Macaca mulatta: one gene and its partner. The protein of the gene in region 1 purifies or fractionates together with the protein of each later gene. This does not show direct contact. Links are inferred from orthologs where the notes say so. Each region holds a gene or a part of one and is shown on either strand. Other genes may lie near its edges. The genes, in order: STK38 and MOB2.

Region 1 (4,532 bases):
CAGACAGGAAATGGGGTTCCCCTCTTGGTTACTTGGCTTACTAGCCGTGGGAATTCAGGCAAGTCACTTAGCTTCTCTGAGTGTCAATTACTTTATCTGCAAAACCTCCTGTGTCACTGCCAAAGTGAGGACCTAGTGAGATGAAATAAGTGAAAGTTGTTTGTAAACTGTAAAGCATTATGCAAACATCTTGGACTATTATTAAAAGCTTAAGGATGGGTAGGACTTTGACAACAGGCATTTGGGGAGAAGGGCCTCTGGGCAGAGAGAATGAAAGGCGAAGTGATTGATTGATATGTATGTAGTGATTGACTGAGACAGGATCTCCCTCTGTTGCCCAGGCCGGGGTGCAGTGTCATGATCATGGCTCATAGCAGCCCTGAACTCCTGGGCTCAATCAGTCCTCCTGCTTCATCCTCCCCAGTAGGTGGGACCACAGGCACGTGCCACCATGCTGGCCAACTAAAAACATTTTTTAAGAGGTGGAGTCTCCTATGTTGCCCAGATTGGTCTCAAACTCCTGGGCTCAAGAAGCGATCCTCCCACCTGGACCTCCCAAAGTGCTGGAATTACAGGCACGAACCACGGTGCCTGGCCAGAAGTGATTTTTGTAAGAGGCTAGACAAAAGGAAACTGGGCTTTGAAGATGAAATGAATTAATGACTCGCAGCACATGCTTCCTTCTCTCCCTAGATGACCCCTTTGCAGGCAGTCAGGGACCATGTCTCATTCATCTTAGTTTCCAGGAGCCTGACACTTTGTAGTTGAGGGCATTGTGCTCCATTCTCAAGAAACGAGGAGTGCCCAAAGGCCATGAAACTTGGGACCTCTTTACCCCCTAAAGTAGTACAGAATAAGAGTTGGGTGGCCTTGAAAAGCACGTTCTTCTGTCCACACTGGGTCGCCCTCTGGGCAACCTCCCAAACCTATGAGAGCTCACCTTATCCCAGGTAAGGTCCTTACTTTGAGGAAGAGGAGGGGGGCCAAAGGCTCCAGCAGACCTGCTCTACACGGGGTAGGGGAGTAGGTGGCAACTATACAGGTGATAACATTTCATATAACTACACACACATACACACGCACATGACTGCATGCCAAACAGGTTAAATCCGAGTATGGTCTGTAATGAAGTTAATTGTATTGGTTTAGTTAACTGTATTGTGACAATGTCAATTTCCTGGCTTTGAGAATGTTGTATCTTATGAAAAATGTTGAGGTAAGCTGAGTGGGTGACGGTATACGGAACCTGTATATATTAATTTTGCAACTTCTTGTGAGTCCATAATTATTTCGAAGTAAAAAGTAAAATAAAAGAAAACAAGGGAACTTCCCCCTCAGCCCAGCCTACTTCGCCACCGCCCCACACTCACACATCTGGCCTCACCCAGGTCCCGCCAGCTCCAGACTGGGGGTGAAGGGAGGGGCAAGGCGGGGCCACGCACGCGCAGTCCCTCAATCCCGGCCTCACCGGGAAGTCGCGCATGCGTAGTCTCGGCCCCGGGTTGCCGCTCCAGCCCGTCTCCGCGGCGGGGGACCAGGCTGCCTTGGCCCCTTAGCGCTCCCGTCTTTTCCGGCAGTTGGAACGCTTCCTGTTGTCCTCACCCGCAACAGCCCGTCGCCCCCTGTCTCAGAGACCCTCACGCGTCCCCTCCCGTCTTTGGCTCGTTGGCTGCCGCCGCCGGGGCTTCGCCAGCCTTCACGTCGAGACTACTGGTAGAAGGGGCGTCTGCGGCTCTCCGCCGCCCCCAGCCCTGCCTCTCCCGGGGCTCTGGTGAGTTGCTTGCTGCCGACGTCTTCACTCCATCCCAGGGTTCTTCCTTTATCTCCTCCTTCCCCAACCGCCGACTCCTCGGGCTTTCTCCTTCTCGCCGACGCCCTCTTTCAAGCCCTAACCTCTCAGCCTCTCGTCCCCTCTCCTCCCCTGTCCTCAGCCCTCTTCTTCCCCCGTCTCCAGATGCCCCTTGTTGGCCCTCCACATTTTCCCAGTCCCAGCCTCTCCACCCCGTCCTTTCTCTTTCTCCTTCTGCAGTTGGAGCGGGAGCCAGGCTCTCCTTTCCATGTTGCCACCTTTGTCTGCTCCCTGCCACCAGTCAGTCCCTCAGGGATCTCGGTCATCACCAGTTTTCATCTCCTTTTCCTTCTGGGGTCTGTGAACTGTAGTCTGAGGCAGAGATGTCGAAAGCCCCCTTGGGGTGTGGTATCTTTGAGTCGGCTCCTTTCTCCGTTAGTCTTAAGATACTGGGCTTCAGATAAGCTTAAAATCACAGGAAAGGCAGGGAAGTTTCTTAAGAAGAGAGTGGAAAAGCAACAGCCAGAGGAAAGGAAAAAGTCGATAAGGGCTGAGAGGAAAGTCTGTGTCAGAAAGCGGGCAGCACGGCCGGCAGAGAGACCAGATCTCTCAGTTCACTCTGAAACGACTAAAAGACACGGAGAGAAACTTGTTCTTTTTGAAATGCACCGAGGAGGGTTGGAGTGAAGTAGACCCTGAGTGTCTCCACCCTTTCAACTCACCCTGCCTCTGAATTAGCCAGGCAGTATATTTGGTTTCCCTAAACATAAAACAACCACCACTACGATAACAGACTCTCCTCCCCACCCTAAACGTTAGATACTAGCTTCCTCGTAAGAGGAGAGAACGCTATAGCAAACCATTTCATGTCCCAGCCCTATCCCCCATCACACATAAACATCACACATAAACACCTCACGCTCGGAATGGCCATCAAAAATGGGTATTTTTCCTAGTTAATCTTTCTTAAGGTGCTAAGTGCATAGCACTGTGCATGAAATGGGGGACGAACATTAAAACAAGCATAAGACGTGGTGCTTGCTTTCTAGTGTAGGTAGGGATTACTGTTCAGTAGGATTTACAGTTCAGTGGGAGAAATTAGACGTGCGGCTTAAGCAGTAATCTTAGCTTCAATGTTGAATCGTCCAAATGAAAGATAATGGGTTGTCAGCCGCAAAGAAATGAAGTCCAGATTGTTGCGAGAGGGTTATTTATAGTGATCATAGAGTACCATTGTAAAGTCAATCAGTTAGCCAGGCATAACCATATAGATTGAATCGCATAATGCTTTTCATTTGACTTCCTTTTGAGTTTGCAGGCCTTAGCCTGACTTTTATGAGGATCAATTCCTTTTGTTAATTTTTAAAACTTTGAAGAATTTCTCAGCCACCTGTTATTTCCTAATTGTGCAGAGCTGAAGAATGAAACAAACAGGGCAAAGGCCTCCAATGGCTTCTAGGTCAGGGCAGGAAGGCTTGAATTATGGAAAGCCTGAGGGATAGTTCTGTCTTAAGAAAAGTTGGCCGACCCGTAAACCTATGAATTGCTATAGGGCAATATTAATTACATCTTTTGATTAAAGGATATTAGAATTAGGCTAAATTTTTAATATTACAATAGAGGAAGTGGAGGAGGGTTTAAAAGGTCAAAGGGAAGGAGAGTGCAATCTTTATCATTTTATTAGAAACTCTAAAAGTTGAAAAACACTCTGCTTAAGAATTTGTTGGTCTAATATTTGAGCATCTTTGAGTTCATTTATTGTCCTTTTGATCTTTTTAAAAGTTTAGGTAGTAATGCCAGCTACTTAAATTAGTCAAAACATTTTTGATATACCCATCAGTGTAAATGTAGTCTTTATTCTTTTTTTTTTTTGAAAAGGATTCTCACTCTGCCACCCAGACTAGAGTGCAGTGGTGTGATCTTGGCTCACTGCAACCTCTGCCTCCAGGGTTCAAGCGATTCTCCTGTGTCAGCCTCCTCTAAGTAGCTGGGATTACAGGTGCCCGCCACCATGCCCGGCTTTTTTTTTTTTTTTTTTTTTGTATCGTTAGTAGAGACGGGCTTTCACCATGTTGACCAAGCTGGTCTCCAACTTCTGACTTCAGGTGATCCACCTGCCTCGGCCTCCCAAAGTGCTGGGATTATAGGCATGAGCCACTGTGTCCAGCCATCTTTATTCTTTAGCTTTGTTGACAACTAAAAATCATTAACTTGTTCAACTTACATTTATTAACTGCCTGTTATATGGATGGCACTGTGTGCCTTAGGGTTAAATATTAGCAGATTGTTGTGTTTTGTTTGTTGTTGTTGTTGTTGCTGTTTTTAAGACAGGTTCTTGCTCTGTCCCAGGCTGGAGTGCAGTGGCACAAGCCGAACTCACTGAAACCTCTGCCTCTCCAGCTCAAGCAATCCTCCCACCTCAGCCTCCTGAGTAGCTGGGACTACAGGTGTGCGCTACCACACCTGGCCAATTTTTTGTATTTTTTTTGTAGAGACGGGTTTTGCCATGTTGCACAGACTGGTTTCAAGCAGTCTCCTACATCTCCCTCCCAAAGTCTGGGATTACAGGCATGCACCAGTGCCCTGGCAAATTGTTACATTTTTATGTTGAAGTAATTTCAGTTGTTAAAATGTAACTACATATATGTAATTTCTTCAGGAATTTTCAGACAAGGAAATACAAAACTCTCACTTGCTTTTGACATGTTTTTAGATCTGGTTTTTAAATTTCTTCACCAGACAC
Region 2 (4,272 bases), on another chromosome or scaffold:
ATATGGATTCGTTCATTGTTAACGAACAGGCCATGCTAGTGTAAGGGTTAGCAATAGGAAGAGTGAGTGTGGGGCTGTGGGGATTCTGTGTTTGCAGCTTCTTTGTAAATCTAACACTTTTCTAAAAACGAAAAGCTTATTAAAGGTAAAATAACTTCCGACACAGACATATGACTCGTGCCCCCGCCCCATCCCGCCTTGGTTCCGACTGCTCCCCACTGCGCGGTGCCTCTGCCCCGCTCCTGTGCTCTCTGTTCCTGGCCCTGGCTGTGCCCGGAAGGTGCTTTTGCTCTTCCTTTTCTGGGGTGGCGGGGTCAGGCCACACCGGCACCTGTCACTGGCCTGCGGGCCTCTGTGGCAGCTCCCCGTGGAGTCTGCAGGGCCTGCTCTGCGTCTGCTCCTCTTCCCAGTGTGGTATCTGTAGCTCAGTGTCTGTGGGTTCCGGCTGGCCCTCCCCACCACCGCCGCACCCCCTAAGTTTTGATCAATAGGAATACCTGCTCCCTGCACGTGTGCCCCAGTGAACAAACACAGAAGAAGGTGGACGTTCCTCCGCATGCCAGCCCAGCCTTCTCAGGACAGTGGCATAAGCCACATAGCTGCCATGTGCTGACCAGACCCACTGGGCACATTTGATGTGCTCTGCCCACCCTACCTGGCACCTTGTGCTGTTTCCCTTCCCCCATGCCACCCTCACCGCTGCCGTGCCTCGTTTTCTGGCTTCTTGTGCCCAAAGCTTCCACCATCCCCAGCGTGCCTTGTGTTGTGCCCTCCAGCCCCCAGCAGCTCATGCCTCCCAAGAGTGGGCAGGTCTGCATCGTGCACCTTCTGGTCCCAGCCCTGCTACTCACGGGGGCCTCCCCACGCCCGGAGCCCGCTCTTCCTGTGGCTCCCTTTGCTGCTTGGGTGATCTGCCAGCACCTGTGTCCCTACTGTTGGTGGAGCCCCTGAGGGCAGAGCGGCAGCCGGGAGCACGGTGCCTGGGTGTGTGTGGCACCACAGGGCTGTGGGATGGCCTTGTCAGGGCAGAGGAAGGCCCATGGGCACGTGGACATCCTGAGCCTCACCGGGCTGTTCGTTCTGTAGAGACGAGTTCCGCACTGCTCAGAGCGTGGCTTAGGGACTGGCCTAGTGGGGAAAATGAAACTGCAGCCTGTTGGGCCTGCTGCTGCTGCTGCTGCTGCTGCTGCTTAGGGAGGCGGGGCTGGCCTGGGGCCATCCTCCTCCGCCGTGGCTCCTGGAGAGTGTGTCTGTGCTGGCCATCTCCCCGTGCGCCCAGGCTGTGTGTGTGCATGCAGTCGAGACACCACAGCTCCCATGGTGGCTGGTGTTGATAGGGGTGAGCCCTGGCTGCTTTCCTGATGGCCGTGTGCTCCCCGCAGCAGCCGGTGCTGCGGGCTGTGTCCTGACTCCTGCAGGGCTTCACACCGACAGAGGTGCTGGGACAGCTTCTGAGGGGCAGTGGCTGGAGATGCTGGGGTCTCTTGATTGGCAGGAAGCACAGGAAGTACGGCTCCCATGTGGGTGGGTGGGGCTTCTGATGAGCCCGTGTTGTCAGGGGCTGTCGCTGCCAGTGGGGTCCACACTGACTCAGGACGAGGAGACAACATTGTCCTCTCAGGTGTTTGCATTTTCGGGGCGTGGCGGTCTTACTGTGTGCAGGCCAGCCAGAAGGAAGGCCAGGGCCGTGCCCCTCCGTGTGCCCCCATGGGGAGCTGCTCTGGGCGTTTCTGTTGGGCTGGGTGCCCTGTGGCCCTGGCTGGCCGCAGCCTCAGCCCAGCACCGTCCAGGCACCCCAGAAGCTGGTTGGCCCCGTCTCTCCCCAGGGCCATCCAGTGGGAGAGCCACTTTGAGTGCCTCCAGTTGTGTACACACTGCAGGGCAGGGCGGCCCATCTTGTCTGTCCCCAGCCCGAGTAGTGACTGGGCTGGGCTGGGCCGGACAAGGGTGAGGGGGTGCCATCAACCTGGAGCTCATCAGCAGAGCTGCTACCTGTGTTCAGAAGGGCTTTCCTGGGGGCTTGGCACCAGAGGACCTTGAGGTGGACCCCGGGACCTCTCTGATGGGTCCTTCTTGCAGGCCGAGGACGGCCCTGTCCCTTCCCTTCTGGTCCCACCCCCACCGCCTTTTCTGACAGCTGTGCCACTTTGGAAAGGCCGATTCAGATGCTCCCTTATTTAACCAGCCTTGGCCGGCCCTTGCCTCTGGAAAGGGAGCAGCTGTTTGTCTCTGCCAGGCGTCCCATTGGTCAGGGAGTGAGGGTGGAGGGCCGAGAGAGGCTGCAGGGCCCGGCAGCAGGCACTTGTGAGTGCTGGCCAGCCAGCACCCCGCCCCACCTCCCCTCCTCACCTCCCCTCCTCACCTCCCCTCAACTGCCCTCCCCACCTCCCCATCGCCCACATCATGCTGGGAGACCACTGCAGTCTCCCTGAAGACCAAGCCCTGCCCAGCCAGTCCCCGCAAACTGGACTCTGCTGCAAAATGGTGCTTCAGGCTGTCAGCAAAATGCTCAGGTAACACCTGCTGGCCTGGCTGGGGGAGCGGTGTGTAGGACATCTGTCTGTCTGTCCTGTTCTTGCCCCCAGGACGTCAGGCTGGGGAGGCAGCGGACTGTGTCCATGGCTGCCCTCCCTGTGTGGCCGGCGGCTGTGCAGCAAGCTGTGCCGGGCAACCGGCATGCTGTCCAGGGCAGAGGCAGCTGTGCAGTCCCGGGCCAGCCTGGCGGGTTTGCTCTGGAGCCCTGCCGAGTCGAGCTTTCCTTAGCCGCCTGCACTTCCTGCTGCTCTGTGGGAGAGGAGCAGGGCTCGGTGTCCTCGGCCTTCAGGGCTGACCCACCTTGCCAGCGCAGGAGCCTGCCGCGTCCGCCCGCAGCCCGCAGGGTGTGGTGCCTCCGCCACCAGCAGGTGTGCCTGTCTTTGTCCCAGCCCTCGGCTGCTTGTGCCCTGGGCAGGGGCTTCAGCCACTCAGGCAGAGGTGACCTGGAGCCTGTCCTTGTGTGGCCTTGTCCAGAGAAGTGGCATGGGGCTCCTGGGTACCTGGTTTTGTGCTGGCTGCCATAGGGATGTTGCCGGAAAATCCATTTTGACTTTTCTTACCTGTACTTTCTCTGACCTGCTGCAGGGGTGCCTCCCTGTCCACACCACTCAGCTGGGTGTGTGCACAGGCGTGTGTGGGAATGTGCGCCCGTGTGTGGGCGCGTGCACCTGTGTGTGGGGGGGGTCTGCACCTACCTGTGTGTGGGCATGAGGGGCCAGGGGAGTGGGGCAGGCACAGCCAGCTGCAGCAGTGGGCGCGTCCTCCCTGGTGGGGTTGCCTGGTAGGGGTGTGAGGCGAGCGTGGCCTGCTGGACGTGCCCTCCAGGGGCGGGGGCTGTGGCACGCGTCTGCATCTCCGTGCCTCTGCCTGTCCCTGGGCACCTGGCTCCATCTTTCTCTTCATGGGTTCCTTCCCTGTCTCCTGATCACCTGTGCGTTCAACACGGAGGACTCCACAAGTAGACGCAAGGGTGCCTCCCGGGGACCCTGCCGAAGATGTCCTATCTTAAGGTGAAACTGGGAGGTTTTGGAAATGTGTGGGCAGGTTGGCAGAACTCGTTGAGTTCAAATCAGGAACGGTGCCTGACATCAGTGGTGTGAGGGGACTGGCATGTGTGCGTGTGTGTGTGCCAGCGTGTTTGTGTCTGAGGCCAAATGCTGAAACCAGCTCCACAGGCAACACAGAGGCAGGCCTGGAGCCCAGCCAGGCCCTAAGGAAGACGGGCAGAGTCCCTTCCCTGGGGCTTAGGGAGGTTTCAAGGGAAGTGATGGGAGCCGGACGCTTGGAGCTTCACCCTGGCTGGGAGCCGGACGCGTGGAGGGGCAGAGGCGCAGCAGAGCATGGCAGCCACGTGGGGCTGAGGTTCTAGCACAGCAGCGGCACCTGCCTGTGTGGACGTTTGGTCTGAGGTGTCTGCAGGCATTCCTTGTGCCATCTTGGCTTTTTCATTCTCAGTGGGCCTCTCTGCGGAGGGCACAGTAGGCTGGTGAAAGCTCGCTATGTCTGGGGCTGCTGACCTGTCTGCGGGGGCAGACAGTTAAACTCAGAAGAGAAGAAGTCACACTCCACAGCTTCCGGCTGGCTGAAGCCTGTGGGAAGTGCAGGCTGTGCTGAGAGATGGACAGGGGCTCCGGGGGCCTTCCCACCCCTCGGCCTGAGGCCTTGTGACGGAAGTGGGGTTAGCACCCAGGGAGAACTTGGGTTAGAACACTGTATTAGAAATGTAGTTCTCAGGCC

What was found.
Region 2: the proteins of STK38 (region 1) and MOB2 purify together in Homo sapiens (affinity purification with mass spectrometry; 7 studies listed by BioGRID and IntAct, with this or other methods). This does not show direct contact. The link is inferred for Macaca mulatta from reciprocal best matches to the Homo sapiens genes STK38 and MOB2.

What each region holds. Positions count from the first base shown.
Region 1 is NC_133409.1:145,706,855-145,711,386, forward strand, and holds the start of STK38 (serine/threonine-protein kinase 38), read left to right. Parts: upstream 1-1,508; 5' UTR 1,509-1,771; exon of another isoform or gene 1,772-3,677; intron 3,678-4,532. UniProt on the Homo sapiens protein: Serine/threonine-protein kinase that acts as a negative regulator of MAP3K1/2 signaling. Converts MAP3K2 from its phosphorylated form to its non-phosphorylated form and inhibits autophosphorylation of MAP3K2.
Region 2 is NC_133419.1:1,383,816-1,388,087, reverse strand, and holds the start of MOB2 (MOB kinase activator 2), read left to right. Parts: upstream 1-1,269; 5' UTR 1,270-2,403; coding exon 2,404-2,513; intron 2,514-4,272. UniProt on the Homo sapiens protein: Stimulates the autophosphorylation and kinase activity of STK38 and STK38L.